Arabidopsis thaliana: one gene and its partners. The protein of the gene in region 2 interacts with the protein of the main gene of each other region in a pairwise test. Each region holds a gene or a part of one and is shown on either strand. Other genes may lie near its edges.

What was found. Proteins that work in one complex are often made in the same cells at the same time.
Region 1: the proteins of COS1 (region 2) and WRKY17 interact in binary tests that used the Arabidopsis thaliana proteins (3 or more experiments, as listed by UniProt).
Region 3: the proteins of COS1 (region 2) and RR14 interact in binary tests that used the Arabidopsis thaliana proteins (3 or more experiments, as listed by UniProt).

What each region holds. Positions count from the first base shown.
Region 1 is NC_003071.7:10,436,660-10,442,267, reverse strand, and holds WRKY17 (WRKY DNA-binding protein 17), read left to right. Parts: upstream 1-2,798; 5' UTR 2,799-3,045; coding exon 3,046-3,704; intron 3,705-4,195; coding exon 4,196-4,324; intron 4,325-4,414; coding exon 4,415-4,592; 3' UTR 4,593-4,915; downstream 4,916-5,608.
Region 2 is NC_003071.7:18,221,497-18,227,493, reverse strand, and holds COS1 (6,7-dimethyl-8-ribityllumazine synthase / DMRL synthase / lumazine synthase / riboflavin synthase), read right to left. Parts: upstream 3,282-5,997; 5' UTR 3,191-3,281; coding exon 3,040-3,190; intron 2,953-3,039; coding exon 2,837-2,952; intron 2,701-2,836; coding exon 2,605-2,700; intron 2,529-2,604; coding exon 2,433-2,528; intron 2,290-2,432; coding exon 2,211-2,289; intron 1,971-2,210; coding exon 1,924-1,970; intron 1,826-1,923; coding exon 1,766-1,825; intron 1,616-1,765; coding exon 1,577-1,615; 3' UTR 1,261-1,576; downstream 1-1,260. Other genes in the region: AT2G44060 (Late embryogenesis abundant protein, group 2), read right to left, coding at 1-572; AT2G44040 (Dihydrodipicolinate reductase, bacterial/plant), read left to right, coding at 3,496-3,509, 3,608-3,821, 3,983-4,220, 4,421-4,554, 4,650-4,724, 4,827-4,928, 5,021-5,130, 5,232-5,319 and 1 more. UniProt on the Arabidopsis thaliana protein: Catalyzes the formation of 6,7-dimethyl-8-ribityllumazine by condensation of 5-amino-6-(D-ribitylamino)uracil with 3,4-dihydroxy-2-butanone 4-phosphate. This is the penultimate step in the biosynthesis of riboflavin.
Region 3 is NC_003071.7:329,975-335,389, reverse strand, and holds RR14 (response regulator 14), read right to left. Parts: upstream 2,489-5,415; 5' UTR 2,350-2,488; coding exon 2,001-2,349; intron 1,923-2,000; coding exon 1,518-1,922; intron 1,435-1,517; coding exon 1,358-1,434; intron 1,278-1,357; coding exon 876-1,277; 3' UTR 694-875; downstream 1-693. Other genes in the region: VIT1 (vacuolar iron transporter 1), read left to right, coding at 318-615; AT2G01755 (uncharacterized protein), read left to right, coding at 2,602-3,141; MAP70-3 (microtubule-associated proteins 70-3), read right to left, coding at 3,542-3,584, 3,688-3,881, 3,975-4,499, 4,596-4,667, 4,792-4,938, 5,047-5,202, 5,302-5,415. UniProt on the Arabidopsis thaliana protein: Transcriptional activator that binds specifically to the DNA sequence 5'-[AG]GATT-3'. Functions as a response regulator involved in His-to-Asp phosphorelay signal transduction system.

The sequences.
Region 1 (5,608 bases), 7.8 Mb from region 2:
AAAAAAATATTAAGTTAATTTTTTTATTTTAAAAATATAATCTGAGTTTATTAAAAAATTAATCATTATCTCATAGATATTAATACATTTACCAATAATTTATCTCGTGGAGGTTACATTGACTTCTACAAACTATTCAAATCGATAACTCTAATTCGCTAAGTAATCCCCAAATCTTTTCTCAGTATCTTTGGCATAAATAAAGCCAAATCTTCTCGAGTGAATAGCAATAATTATACATCATGGCTTATATATTGTATTTTTCTGATAACAAATGTGCATTATTTCTATCATCCACTAACTAATAATTAAAAATTCAATATTGACCGTACTATTATAAAAAAAAAAAACAATGGTTGGAAGTTTGAAATACGTAAACAACAAAAAAACAAAAAAAAATAAAACTTCGTTCGTTAGTACCGTATGAATTCATAGATACAACATATACAAAATAAGTATTTTACCCAACATGTGTCTTCTTTCACTGGTTTGATCTCATTCGTTTTGCATGGGCTAACAAAACAATTATTTCAAATACGCGAAGATTATTATTTCTATGCGACCATTTTATAGAAAAGATAATTTAGATAAGATATAAAGGAGACATTTTTAGAGGAGATAACATTGAAATATATAGTATAATATATTTTTAGAGATTCATAAATTATAAATTTAGAAAAGGACATTAAAATTTGATATAGAAAAGGAATTTAAAAGTAAGTAAAAGTTTACAAAATCAGAAATGAAAAAATAAAATGCTTTTAAAAAAAATGTAGACGTGCACGACAATCATATATATTAGTCGGTTAGGTCAACGATTCCCATGTCGCTAATTTATAATGCATTCCGTTGACAAATATTTAAAAATGTTTCAATTATACATCTTGAGGTCTGTTTTTGCACACATAACACGTCATATATCATTGACAAAGAAAACACGTCGTAATTTTCTTTTTCTTTTTCTTTCATGTAGTCTTCTTGGCTTAAAAGAATTCAGCTAAGTAAGTATGGTTGATATTTTCTTCTACAAGTGATAAAACTTTGGAATTTTTGAATAAGTATAATTACAAGAAAACACTGCATATAACAACTACAAGAAAACACTGCATATACCAAAATTATCGAAACATGTATATTCCGACAAACTGAAATCACCGGAAAACGGTGGTGTATTGAAACAAAGAGTTGTTTTAACTGAAGTTTGAAAGTAAACAAAAGATTAAAAAGTAATTTATAGTAATGTTAATATTTACTCATGTTTCTGCTTTGGTGATTAGTAATAAATCTTCTAAAATCTATATGCCATTTTATAAATGCGATTAAAAATTTACCAATTAAACCTTATTTAGAAAAATGTAGAGAAAACTTCAAATTATCTCCTCAAGTAGGATTAGATCGAGCTGCAAATTGGCTCTTTTTATTCATTTAATTTCCTCCATTCCTAACTGTATTGGTATTGTTTACTTTATTTCTATAAGCAACAAAAAAAAAAGAATCTTGTGGACAGGTGACAATTTATGAGTCAGCCAGAATTGCCACGTGTCGGAAGATCAGTTGCCGTGGTAAAAGGTGTTTTTTAGATTCTCAAAAAAAAAGTAGTTAAAGAGAATAATATCAAAGAGTCAACTCCACAGTTCACAGATCCACCGTTGGATCTAACTTTTGGATTATCAACGGCCCAGATAATAGTTAACCGGAATCACTCGGTTACCGAGGTAGTCAATAGTTCTGTGTTTTAAAAAGAAATGCGTCCATGTGATCACTTTTATTTTATTTGTAGTCAGCTTTTGTTTTCCTACTTTGTCGTTTTTCTTTATCGCTGTTCTCAACTAAAGACTTGTAGACTATACTAATAAGATATAGTCAACGATTGTCGCTGTTATTATAGCCTTTAATCTCTATTAATGATTGTTAATTGTTCCACAATCTGTGTAGATTAATTAGGTAAAATTAAAAGTCAAGAAAAGATTGTTTTCAATTTACTAGTTTTCCAGTCAAGACGTTTTCTAGAAGGCTATGAGGTAAGAAAAAAAAAATATATATTAGGTGCAAAGTTAATATGGGAGTCAAATATTATTTTCAAATAATTATTATTGTCAATGCACTGCAAAATTAGTAATAATTCTAGAAAGAAATTGAAATAATAAAAATATGCTGCAAACACGAGTTTGGTATGTGTGCACCATATAATATTGACAAGTTGTAGTGTTGGTTGAAGCTAAAAATAACACAAAAACATAAAAAGAACATGAATAACGCCTAAAACTTAACACGAATAAAATAAAAAAACATAAAATATATTATCAAAAGTCAAAATCACAAAAGAAATTAATACCATTTTACAATTAGCTGAAAATTTATTCTATCAAAATCCAGTCCTATTAAAGAAAAATATGTGATTTGAGATGAAATTAATATTACATATTTTGATTTGGTTCAAGAATAAATTATGGATTTTGGTTAAAGACCTTCTAATATTCCAAAGAAACAAAAAAAAATCAGCCCAATTGTTCATACAAATAAAAACAATTCATTACCTTTAATTTTAAATTTATTGACTTGAACTTGAAGACATAAGATACCTAATAAAAGAAAAAATAGATATGAGACTTTAAAAAAGCTTTATGATTTTCTTTAGACACCATCCTTTAATGTTTTTTATTTGACTTTTTGTTTCTTTGAAATTCCTTTACCACCATTTTCCCCAAATTCAAGTTTACGCACAATGATTCCTTTATTTTAAAGACACGATTATAAATTCTTGCTTTGCACAAAAGAAGACCCTACATATCTCACAACTCAAGGAGACCAAACTTTGATTACTTTATTCCATAGAAATCTTCAACTCAATCTCAGCCGTTAGATCTAAAGCACCGATTTGACTAAACTCCATCTTAAACCTACTCAACCGGTCACTCGGTCACACCCATAACCCCATATATCACGCCAACGCCATTCTTTTTTCTTCCAGTTTCGCTCTCTCATTCATCAAAAAAAACTTGCACATCTTCTCAGATCTTCAAGTTTCTCCTCTGGTTTCTCATCATGACCGTTGATATTATGCGTTTACCTAAGATGGAAGATCAAACGGCTATACAAGAAGCTGCATCACAAGGCTTAAAAAGCATGGAACACTTGATTCGTGTCCTCTCTAACCGTCCCGAAGAACGTAACGTTGATTGCTCTGAGATCACTGATTTCACAGTTTCTAAGTTCAAGAAAGTTATCTCTCTTCTTAACCGTTCCGGTCACGCCCGGTTTAGACGTGGTCCGGTTCATTCCCCTCCTTCCTCCTCCGTTCCTCCACCGGTGAAAGTGACAACTCCGGCTCCCACTCAGATCTCTGCTCCAGCACCGGTTAGCTTCGTTCAGGCAAATCAACAAAGCGTGACGTTAGATTTCACTAGACCGAGCGTTTTTGGCGCTAAAACCAAGAGCTCGGAGGTTGTTGAGTTTGCTAAAGAGAGCTTTAGCGTATCTTCTAACTCTTCTTTCATGTCTTCTGCGATCACCGGTGATGGAAGTGTCTCTAAAGGCTCTTCGATCTTTCTTGCTCCGGCTCCAGCGGTGCCAGTGACTTCCTCCGGGAAACCGCCGCTTTCTGGTCTTCCTTACAGGAAGAGATGCTTTGAACATGACCACTCTGAAGGCTTTTCCGGCAAGATCTCTGGCTCCGGCAACGGCAAGTGCCATTGCAAGAAAAGGTATTGTTATTACTCCACAATAAATTAATCATTTGTTTGACTAGCCTAGTAGTAGTTAATTGTTTGGTTCGATACGGTCTAAACCAATCGCTCACGGACTCAGTGAAAATATATCACGAATTCAGATTTCAAAATTCTTTTTTTGCCTCGAATTTGTCAATCATGAACAAGTCTACTAGTTAAATTAACTAGTCTCAGTAAAAAATAAAGAATAAAAATCCGGGTTTAATACTTTGTAGACCGGTTTGGTACTATCTAAACCAATCGGTCAATGTATTTAGTGAAAGTCAACGACAGTAACTTAAACCAAAGTGCACGCCTGACAAGGACAAGTTAGTGGGTGCTGTCGTTTTGTATAGGGAAAGTTTTTACGTTTTAAAAGTCTTTGTCTGCCCGTTGACTTTTGCTAACCTGATGCATGTTCACGTTAGTCGTGTCAGCGCACGTTAAATCATTTCACTAATTACAATGTTTTATTATTTAATTAACAGCCGAAAAAATCGGATGAAGAGAACCGTGAGAGTACCGGCGGTAAGTGCAAAGATCGCCGATATACCACCAGACGAATATTCATGGAGAAAGTATGGACAAAAACCGATCAAAGGCTCACCACATCCACGGTAACTATCGTACACCATCGCTATCCACCGTTGATTTATTTGTGAAACATTGGAGATCTAACGGTTGTGATTTGTTTTTGTTGATTTCAGGGGTTATTACAAGTGTAGTACATTTAGAGGATGTCCAGCGAGGAAACACGTGGAAAGAGCTTTGGATGATTCAACGATGTTGATTGTGACGTACGAAGGAGAGCACCGTCATCACCAGTCCACGATGCAGGAGCATGTAACTCCTAGCGTGAGTGGTTTGGTGTTTGGTTCGGCTTGAAGAATTAATTAGTTTGGTAGTTTTGTAATATTTTGAGAAATAGAGGGGTTGGTTTTGTAATTTTTTTTCTATAACAAAATTAGTTTTAGATTTTTTTTTAGTAGTCTTTTGAATGGATTTTAATCTTACTACCGAGAAAGAAAAAATTCTTACTACATTTTCATAATTTCTTGTTTGATATATTTAGTGGTGTCATGTAAGAAAATGATGTTTAGCAAAGTAATTGGTATATAAATGTGTAGGCATATGTATTTAATGATATGGTTCGTAAAGTTACCATTACTCTGTTTGATCTAGTTATGATTTGTGATGGTTGATTTAGGGGAAAAATGTCATTTAATCCCCCAACTTTCAAAAAATGGCCATTTTATACATCAATTTCATATGTGGCCGTTTAAAACATGAACTAAACGTTGACTAATTTTTAAAACATGATCTTTCGTTGACCAGGCCAAAATAGACATGCCGTTATCAGTCATTAACGGAACTTCTAACGTCCGTTATCATTCGTTAACTTTATTAGTCAAGTTTCAAATTGTGGCCATTTTAAACATCAACTTCTTATGTGGCTATTTAAAACATGAATTAAACGTTGAATACCATTTAAAACATGAAAAATTCGTTGACCAGGCCAAAATAGACATGTCTTTATCAGTAGAACCTAGAAACCCGTTAATGACTGTTAATCTGTCCAAAATAACGTCGTTCAAGAATAATCGAAAGAACATAAAGATTTTTTCCATATGAAATCTCCATATCAAAAAGTTTTAAGCAGAACCCAAGAACATAGTTTGATAAAGAGATAATCGCAGTGCCAGTAATTGGAAGCAAATAAAGGTGTTTTCGTTTATATATTTGTTTTAAATTTTAAAAGGAATCATGGAAGCAAATTGAAGACTCATTATAAGATTGTTCGTCTTGTTTGAGCGGTTGTAAAAATAGATTTGGGGAAGTAGGGTTTCATTTAGAAAACAATCCTGATTTTCTTTTGATTACTCTCAAAACAAAGTCGTTTT
Region 2 (5,997 bases):
TTCTTTGGAATTGGGATCTCTCCACATTTCTCCAGCGGCAATGTCAGTCTTCCCAATACTGGCACATCCACAATCAGATCAACCTTGATTCTGTAAGGTATGATCATCCCGGGGTTGATATCGTTGTAAGTGCTCTTGATGTCATCATAGATCAACGTCAATGGTATCTTCACAGTTTCTTCTCCATGAGCCTTGAGTGTTCCAGCATCCGGGATCAAACCAGAAACCAGTTTCCTCCCATCGCTCTCGACCAGGTAGTTGACATCGATGAGAGGGATAGGAACTGGATTCGGGTTCTTGACAAGCACATCCACAACAATATCTGCCCTCTCAAGATTGATCTTAGGGATATGAATCGCAGAGACATCAGCAGTTGGCTTCCCAAAGCCAATGGTTCCCTCGAGTTTCTCACCAATGTCATGAATGAAATCTTTCACCTTATCGAGGAATCCACCTTTCCCTTCTTCTTTTTCCTCGTCCTTATCCTTCTGACTTCTATCGACGATTTCCACGTCACCCTCCTGATGAACTACTCTACTGATGATTTCCGGTTTATCCTCAGATGTCGACATGCCTCCTAAGCAGCAAGAAAAGTCAATTAGTGCCACAGAAACAAAAGCTTAGAGTATCAAAGAATAGACAAAACTTCAAGCATTCAACGCCGAGAGTAGATTCATCAATCACAGCAGGACAATGGTTGTAAAAGTCAAACAAAGTGTAATCACAGTTTTTAGTAGTTGTAAGAGGCTATAATCACCAAAACAAAGTTTCTCACCAAAGACCATAGAGAACTCGCATCACATTAGATATCATCAACTAGGATCCTAGTGGAATATCCCAAACCAAAGAACATACAATGCATCTCTGTACTAAGAGACAATGATCATATCACGTGAATCAAGAGGATTCGTGGGAAATACAGATCCGAATGTTCGATCTACACATGATAGCACTAGATCAACCTAAATGTCAAACAGATCGGAGAAACAAAAAGCTCGATCTAATTACACCACCTTTTTCCATGTATTCCGATCAAATCATGAAGGATCAACGCAAGAACAACAATGAAGAGAAATAAAACTTAGTGGATTTGATTTTTACCTGGATTGGATGAATGTGAGTCACAGAGACAAAGAGAAGAGAGTGCTCCAAGAGTCACAAAATGATTATAGATTGTGGAATTGGTTGATCCGTTGAACTTTATATTAACTATTATCAATGTGACGCGTAATCTTCGCTCGCCGACAAAATTTTCGTCGTGTAAGATCCTTATTGGCTTTTAAAATTGACATCCATTTCGACACCTCAATTTCAAGATATTACAACAAAGAAGATCACATTTTTGATTAGTACAGAAAGACCCCCAAAATTCGGAGGAATTATTATTATCATACGATTCAAAAAAAAAAAACAAGGCCAGAAGCTTACAAAAGCGTTTAAATGATTTTGTAACCAAGGGTAAAACATTTTGACAATCTTTGAGGTACAAACAATTTCAGAGACTGGATTGTAACCAAATGGGACAACATCAAGAGGTTCTCATACGTGATCATGTTCATCCATCGAACGAGCCGAGCTATTTCAGGTGGTGCTCAAACAACGACGCCATTTCGAGCTGAAAAACAAGAGGAAGAAATATTCAAAGACTTTACCAAAAAGACATAAGAACCCGAATGGTTATAACATGACCAGTTGCTCAATGGAATGATCAGGAATTTCTACATCTTATTCTAACAATAAAGGATTGAATCATAATGATACTTACCGCCGTCAAAGCAGTTTCAGCTCCCTTATTGCCGGCTTTGCCACCAGATCGATTCAGAGCCTAGAGTTTCAGTTAACCACAATATTAACAAATTCAGTGTTCATCCATTATGATGAATAAGCTATATATCATCAACTCTTGCATAACACAACTTAAACCTGATCCATGTCCTCGCAAGTCAGTACACCAAATATGCATGGAACGCCTGCAAATTGGATTTTTTATAAGCTTTAATTACTAGAGTCAATAGTGCGTAAACACAAAATTTGAAGAAGTAATTCATGATGAGGGAATTTAAACATCCAAAATCCAAAGAAAAGCAAAAATGAACTACCCGCTCTTTTAGGTTCGGAAGTATACAAAATCAATCTTTCAGTGTTTCCAAAACAATGTCAAATAAAAATGTCTAAAGATGTATATCCAGCAAATAAGTATCGAGGTAAACCTGAATTTATGCTAGCAGAAAGTACTCCAGACGCAGCAGAGTTGGCAACAGCATCATAATGTGTGGTATCTCCTCTTATCTAAACCACAACAAGGACAACAGTAATATCAAAATCCAACTCTTTAAGTATATGTTATCAACATAAAGCAACTACTTTCTGAAGCCATATGAGGAGAAAAACAAATGGAATAGCCTGAGATTCTTTCAAAACAAGAATCATACCACAGCGCCGATACATAAAACAGCATGAAATTTTCCCGATTTCCCAAGATTTTGTGCAACAACACCAATTTCAAAGCTGCCAGGAACCCAAATAACCTGAATAAAAACAGTGTCATTAGCTTTGTGAAAGCTCATAACTTTTTATTCTGTTCTACAAGCAAAAGACTTTTACTTCAATGTCTTCTTCTCTGACTGAATACTTCTTGAAAGTCTCAATCGCTCCTTCCAAAAGCAACTTAGTCACAACCTCATTGAAACGAGCTACCACCTTGAGAAAGAAAAATGAATCAGAACCAAGTCAACACTGCAATTGAGCTCAAAGTTTTCAAATTTCACTGTAAATCAGAACCAAGTCACTAAATCTAAGCAGCGCACAAAGTAAGAAAGCGATTCTGAGAACTCACGATGGCGAATCTAAGACCTTCGCCTCTGATAAGAGACCCCGTAACATGGCGAACAGCAGCCGTCTGTACGAATGAAGAGCGTAATTCCTTCTCTACAGCTAGTGGTGACGCAAATCCTAACACCAAATGTTAACATCTCAATCACGAAATTGCGAAAAAACGATTTGAGTTATTATAAGAGAAGTGAGAGAAAGCAAGCTTACCGGATGTGGATGAGGAGAATGAGAGATTATTGGATTTGTTCACAGAAGAGCCACCGTGTATATAACAGGCGGAGGAAGATTGACGCGAATTGAGCTGACGGTGTGCCGTCGGTATCAGGCGGAGACACGGCGGCGAAGCTAATGACTTCATTTTTCGTTCGTCGGAGTTTTAGAGACGGTTCTTCGTTCTTCAGGTTAAGAGTGAGACTGTGAGGTCCATTAGCTTATCAAATCGGTTCAAGGCTTCCGGTTTATTATTTTCATTAAAATTACGGTTTCATTGAATCTATTAGTTTGGTTAGAGATTTCCGGTTTGATGAAAAGGGATAAGCTAAACCCTACATCCCCAATCACTCTCACCGGCCGGAAATTTTCAGACAAAAGTGAAAGATTTAAACTTTTGACTCCGTCGTAACAAAGAACAAAACTTCCGTATCCTGGAGAGTAAATTCCTTTATGGCTACGAATGGGTACGTTTCGAAACCTACGAATTTCACGTTTTGATTGACGGAGATGAGCTTTAAACTCTTTAAGAGGATTCTATTGAATTTAAACGATTTGATCACAGGTTAATGGCGTCGTCCAGTGTGTTTCTTCATCGCCCGCGTATCGCATTTGCTTCTAGAACGAATCAGACTGTAGGAAAATACGGTAAAGGCCGTGTTAGTTTCATGGGCATTGGGACACGTCGTCTTCCGGTGGTTTTATCCATGACGGCGATGGCGGATTCCGGTGAGGAGGCCGTGAAATCTGTTTTGCCTGGAAATGGCATATCCATCATGGTAAACCTGATCATCTGATGATTTCTCTTAGACTCAAAGTTGTGAGATTTGACTTTGCATTACCATTTAAGTTTGAAATGTAGAAATGTCAAAGCTTGTTCCTTTTGAAATGGGGATTTTTATGTTGGATTTAGCTATATTCATTATCTCTTATTCTACAGGTGAATGGATGTAGTGGCAAAATGGGGAAAGCTGTAATTAAAGCAGCAGACTCTGCAGGAGTAAATATTGTTCCCATATCGTTTGGATCTGCTGGTGAGGATGGTCAGAGAGTTGAGGTCTGTGGAAAGGAGATTACTGTGCACGGTCCAACTGAAAGAGAAAAGGTTCTTTCTTCGGTGTTTGAGAAGCACCCGGAGCTAATTGTTGTCGACTACACAATTCCCTCTGCAGTAAATGGTAAACTTCAGAATCTCTCATTTCTACCATCAAAAGACAATTGTATTCTAGATTTGTTGAAGTTATGGTTGAATTCTGGTTGGCGGAACGATCCTTGATTGAGTTAGTTTAGAATTTGTGCAAGTGAAAATCATCTGCTAGAAGTGTTTTTTTTGTCTATTGTTTGTTGATTTCAAGTTTGGTATTCTCGCAAAATGTAGATAATGCGGAGCTGTATAGCAAAGTAGGTGTTCCTTTCGTCATGGGAACAACTGGTGGAGATAGGAACAAATTGTATGAAACTGTTGAGGAAGCAAAGATTTATGCTGTGATTTCTCCACAGATGGGTAAACAGGTATGTGTACTTGAATGTTTCTGGAAGAAATGATTACTTATGCATGTAAGTTAAGATCATTTTTGCTCATATTTGTGTGCTTTGTTGGTCTATAGGTTGTAGCATTTCTTGCGGCCATGGAGATCATGGCTGAGCAGTTTCCGGGAGCCTTTTCTGGTTATTCCTTGGATGTACTTTTCTTACTTCTTTTATACATTCAAATTCTTTTTTCTTTCTCTGTTAGTTTTATATTACTTCTTGCTACATCTAATCAACTGCCAATCTATATGTAGGTGATGGAGTCTCATCAAGCTAGCAAATTGGATGCATCCGGAACAGCAAAAGCTGTTATTTCTTGCTTCCAGGAATTGGGTGTGTCTTACGACATGGATCAGGTGCATTGGTCATCCTTTATTGTTTACATCTTGGCAATCACTTAATTTATCCTCGGAATGTGAATTTTCTGTGTATACAACTTTTGTGGCAGATACAATTGATTCGGGATCCAAAACAGCAAGTGGAGATGGTGGGTGTACCTGAGGAGCATATCTCTGGTCACGCTTTCCATCTTTATCACTTGACATCACCCGATGAAACGTAATGCAATATCTAAGATATTGTTTATACTTTTCTTTGTTTCCATTGTAAAAGTGTCTCTGTTCCATAACTAGCTCCCTTTTCTTTGTCTTTCTTTGCAGTGTCTCCTTCGAGTTCCAGCACAATGTCTGCGGCCGATCAATTTATGCTGAGGGTACTGTTGATGCCGTGCTCTTCCTCGCCAAAAAGGTTCTAAAGCTTGCTCTTATTGCTCATCATGATTCTGCGAAATTGAATCTCAGCTTTCTCTGAGTCTCACCGCTCTTCTCTATAATGCTAATTGTTGATTCAACACTTTTGTGAAATGCAGATTCGATTGAAAGCAGATCAGCGAATCTACAACATGATCGATGTCTTGAGAGAGGGAAATATGCGTTGAGCTTTCGAGTTTTGCCAGTGCATTGACCAAATGGTGGTTGTAGAAGAGCTGAGATTAGATTTACCAAATCATCAGCTGTGAAAATTAGATGTTTGGTTTCCCACTTCTTCTGCCTTGAGCACAGGCTTTTGAAATTCCTTGGTATATACAAGAACTTGCCATTGTATTGTTCATGTTTTGACCTCTTTACCTCAATGTTATTCTCCTTTCTGGATCATTGAAGTGAAGTCTTATTGATCAAACTTCTCCACAACAATTCTCAGACAAAGTAAAACCTAAATTCATCAAATGGACCCTTCACTTACCATTTGATGATTCAACATCTAAAATGAGATCAAGTGCATAATCATAGTAAGGAACTTGACCACTCAATCCGCAGAGATTGAAATCATCTTGTATATAATCTTAATCGACAAAGTTTATTCAATCTGGTGTTGTTAAGATTTTTGGCTTTTATTGTTATTCTCATTGAACAAATGAGTCACTTC
Region 3 (5,415 bases), about 18 Mb from region 2:
TTATTTTATGTATATTATATAGTCTTAATTAAAGAGAAAATCGAGGGATACTTTTAGATTTCTGCAAAAGCTGAGCTTATACTTTCCAGGTGTGGGCAAGATTCTTATATGGTCCGACTTCCAATTTTAATCTTTTTTGTTGCAACAAATAAAGTACGTGAATAGTAACAAACAGAAAACAACAAATTACGTGAATATAAAAACTTATCTTATTGATTTGGTTAAGTTTAACACTCTTTACCTATCACAAAATGTTTATATTCCTACTATAAGCATGTAACTTGTTATATAAGTGAGACTTTATTGTTTCGTTACAGGTTTGAGCTGGGATTAGAGAAGCCTGATCCAAAAAGAGCGTTACAAAGCGCGTTCACGATTGCAATCGCTTATGTTCTTGGCGGTTTTATACCGTTACTTCCCTACATGCTCATACCGCATGCCATGGATGCGGTAGTGGCGTCTGTGGTTATAACTCTGTTTGCGCTCTTCATATTTGGCTATGCAAAAGGGCATTTCACTGGAAGCAAGCCCCTCAGAAGTGCGTTTGAAACCGCCTTTATAGGAGCGATTGCTTCAGCTGCTGCTTTTTGTTTGGCTAAAGTTGTGCAACATTAGCAGTAACAAAACTAGTGTTGCGTTTGATGTTTTGTGTACTTTGAGACTTGTTTGTTGCATGTCTTGTGGTTATTATCAGGCTAAAACTTTTGGCAACCATAATAAAGTGAGAGATAACAATTCAAAATATTGGTTACATAATTACTTTCCTAAGCTAACATTGCAGACACACAAGTTTTCTTCTGACATTAATCCATTCCTGAAGATTTAAAAGAAACAGTTGCAGAGCCTTCTCTTCTTAAGCGTATCCATATTGGTCACTATCTTTGTCTTGAAGATCTTTCCAAGATCCAAGATTCTTCATTGACATTTGATCCATACCCTTGTCTGATTCTGTTGTTGTTAACGTCACCTCTCTGTCTGAAATTTGCTGAGGAAGATAGACCATGAACCGCCACAGAAACAGGACGGTTAGAAGCGGATGATACATCAACCGAGAAGTGTTCATTTTGAGATCTACCAAGATTGTCATTAGGAATCCAAACTCCAAAACTAGCAGAGTGATGATTGTCTATTGGTTGACCAAACAATGCAGCTAATGTCTGTGGATGTAATTGTCCTGAGGAAACCAGAGCTTGAATGTTTTCATATCTTTTGGTAGACTCAGAGTCATTACTCTGCGAAGCTTCACCGCTTAATCTCTTCAAATACAATCGGAACTTCTGCAAATGGTATTGATTCAGTCATAACCCTTATAGAGACCCTAATAAGAAGAAAGATTCAATCAATCAATCAAAGAAACCTGTAAATGACTAGCCACGTTTTCTCTGCTTAAACCAGGAACATTCATCAACTCGAGAATCCGCTTTGGTACAGCTTCTGAAACAATAAGAGAGATTCTTATAAGCACAAATTACTTTGAATTTCTTCTACAAGCAATAAGATAGTGTTTAGGATCATACTGTCAATTCCAAGTTTGTTTACGGCATTAACGAATTGTTGATGCAATTCAATAGACCAAACAACGCGTGACTTCTTCGAGTTTCCAGGATCAAGAAGAAGATCATCTTCATTATCATCTCTATCAACACTTCTCTTCTTCTTCTTCTTCTTATTCCTACATTTCATCAAACTTTCCTCTGAGCATTCACTAACCGAAACAACAACAGTCTCGAGGCTACCACTGTTCTTGTTATCCTCTAAAGCTTGAGAACTTCGAAGCTCTTTCTTCATCACACATTTCCTTCTAACAACATGTTGCCAAATGTTCTTAAGCTCTTCAGGACGAATAGGTTTGATTAGATAATCACAAGCTCCATGGTTGATTCCAGTCATGACTGTAGTTGTTCTTCCATCAACAGACATCACTAGAAACAGAGCAAATGTAAGAAACATTGATGCAAAGATTCAATCTTTAGAGACAAAACATAACAACAGAGTCTTACTAATGACAGGAAGATCCATTTCAAGAAGACCAACTTGTTGAAGAAGATTGTAACCATTCATACCAGGCATATGAACATCACTTAGCACCAAATCAAAACTGTCTTTTCTTTCTCTTAGAATGGTTAACGCAACATCAGCTTGTGAGCAAATTGTAACTACAAAGAGAAGATAAAACAAAAATGTTAAAACTTTCTTGAGAAAATCTATTAAAAGGTGGGAACTTTGATAAAGAATTAGACCTTGGTACATGAGACGGAGAAGCATTTTCTCGAGAATGAACAAGCATGAAGTATCATCGTCTACAACGAGTATTCTTAACCCACTAGGAAACTGATCGTTGATCGGCATTAAGCTTTGGTGTGAGTATTGAAAACCCTAGAGAACTGAGAAAGAGATTTTGGTTGGAGAAGAAAGAAGAAGAAATGATTGAAGACGTACAGTGTTGAGTAAGTAGCCACTGGTTTGAAGAGAGAGGCAACGAAAGCGACTGGTAATAGCTGTAGTGGCACTCTGTTGTAATTAATCCAATTGGTACTACCCTTATTTGTAAACATACACGAGTCCTTTAAAATCTTATCTATAGACAAAGTCACGGTCCTCATGCACTACAATATCAGAATGCTTATCACGCCGGCGAATTTATCCGGTGGCATAGCCGGATTATTCGTTTTCGGACAGAAAGATCAAATGACTAAAATACCCTCGCTCACAAACTCGTATAACTACCGGAAAAAACTTTTCACCGTCCCTCCAGTGGCGGAGAGAAGAAGAGCTTTGAAGATGTTCTGGTGCGGTGCTCGGAGAAGGGTGAGAGACGAGGGAGGTGGTGAAGATGAAGATGAAATGTATGGATACAACGAGGAAATGGCGATGTTGGAGATATATAGCCAGTCGTGTAGAGAAGAAGCGCTTATAGTGACGGCCATTGTCGACGATGAAGAAGTGGAAGTTGTAATCTTTAAAGGAGTGTCGTCGTGCTTGAGCGGAGAAACGGCGGTGGATCCGGCGAGGAGTGTGTTGCCGGAGAGAGCAGTCATTACAAAGATTGATAGAGTGAGAGGTCCTTTTGATCCTTCACAGATTCATTATATTCAAAGGGACATCTCTTTTCAAGCCTTCAAGGAGACCAGACTCAACTAATGTTAGTGAATGTTGTGTCTGGATCAATGAAACTAATGACAATTTCAATTTTTTCACTAATAACTCTCACCTCTGTTTCTGAACTAATTTCTTAAATCTATAACATACCCCAAAATGAGAAAAATGGACAAAGGTAAGATAGAGAGAGATACAATAAATCACACACTAAGCTCAAGTTAGTAGTTAAAACACAAACCTAACTCTTTTCTATATATGAGGAAAACAATAAACATCAGCCAAGAAATTAAAAATCAGTTTTTAACTTTGAAATCTTACTATGTTAAGAAGCACACAAACCTCCCATATTGGATTTCTATATTTGTATGCTTTTTGTCATTCCTTCAATCTATTAACCACTGAATTGAGATTCATATTTTGCTCGTGGAATCGACTTCTTTGATCACTGCGTGCTCCTCGTCATCCCCATTCGTCCTGAGCCTCTGCTAAAACAACAATGCAAAGCAAACGTTCAAGTGTTAAAGAAAACTAACCTAACCAACTTATAATCGTTACATTGGGTCATTATAATAAGAAAACATCAGGTACCTTCCAGAAAGTAACTGTGCAGTTGTTGAAGCTCCTTTTGAGTTAGTAGAGTGACGTCTCGTTCTACTATCTGATCCTTTGTTATCCACACGCATAGCTGAAACCTCTTTCTCCATTGCTGCTACTTCTCTTCGCATCTTCTTTGCTTCCACTTCCATCGCCTTTGTTAGTGTTTCAACCTTCTTGGCCAACATCTAAAAGCAAACACAAGCCCAAGTATTTTGATCAGAGAATATAAATAAATATAAGCAAACGTTTCTTGGAAAGGTGTAAAACTAATGACTAACCTCAATAGCTTCGTCTTTATCTCTAAGGCTTTGATCTTTATCATTAGCAGCTTTCCTTAAAGTTATCACCTCCTTTTGAAGCAAATCATGTAATACTCCTGGGACACTATCATTATTTGTCCCTGCTGCTTTCTCTGAATCTCCTTGTTTTGTTGAATTAGGTGACCCGCCTCCGCTTGTTCCTTCAGAAGATTGGTTCAATGGAAACTTCGATCTGGGTTCGTTTGTTAGTACTTTACTCCTATCTAAAGATCTACTGCCTCCGTCAAATGATCTGGATGTTCCTTTCGCATGCTTCAATATTGTGCTTGTACTAGCATTCAAAGATCTAAACTGAGAACTTGGTGACCTCTTGGAGAAAAATCCATTTGATGTCAGTTTCGGAATAATATCAGCTCCGCCAAGGGATTGTCTTCGAGAAGGCCCGTTGCTCATACTTCTTCCCTCAGGTGTCGATCGGTTTCCACTGCTTGAAGGCCCTCTTAAACTCTCTTCTAAGACTCTAAGCCGCAGTTGAAATTTCTCCTGCAAAAGGCAAAAGCAGCAATTCTAATTAAAGCCTTGATACATAAGGACATAAAGAAGACTAAAGCTATATGGATCTGAACTCCGAATTCTTACCTTTAGCTGAGCTTCAGATTTTGCAGCTCGATCAGCTATGGCAAGTTTGTCACGTAGTTGTTGCATTTCTCCCTGTCCAAAAAGAAACAGGAAAATGGTTAAAGAATGCACTTACTCAAGTTACAATGGTTCCTGTGAATATGAATCACAACTCGAAGCAGTAACAGAAGCCCAAAAATAAAATATCAAAAGTAACCTGCAGAAATCTTCGTTCTTCGAGCCATTGCTTCACAGGCATCACTTTATCGCTACCATCTTTCCACTCATTTGCCACTACAGTTGCAACCCTGCTTGCACTTACTTTGGCACGAGCCAGTTCCCGATCAAGGATTCTCCTCTCTTCCTAATGAAAGGATTAATGGCCATAGCTATGATTAGCACAGGAATTGAATTTTAAGTACAAGGGTAGCAATAGGCTAATGAGGCACTAAACGTGTAATTTAATTATTACATTCATTTCTTGAAATTTCCTCTGGTAATCTCTCACTGCATTTGCAGCTGTACCACCAGCAAGAACAGCTTCTTCAAGCTCCCGTACGGTCTGGGTAAACTTTTCAACTTCTGCAACCTTTTGTCTGTGCAACTTGTCCAAAATTCTGTTCTCTTCCTAATTTGAACAATCGATAAACAAGGCATGCTCACGAAAACGAAGGAGAGAGATCCAGGAATTTATAGTACTGCTGGGTAAAGGAGGCGAAAGTGATACCTGACAAATTTCTATCTGTTTCATTAGCTCTTGGTTTTTATTCTGGAGGTCATCAACCATTGAAGCCTTTGCAAGAGCAGACTGAACAGTTCTTTCAGCATCAAGCAAAGCTGC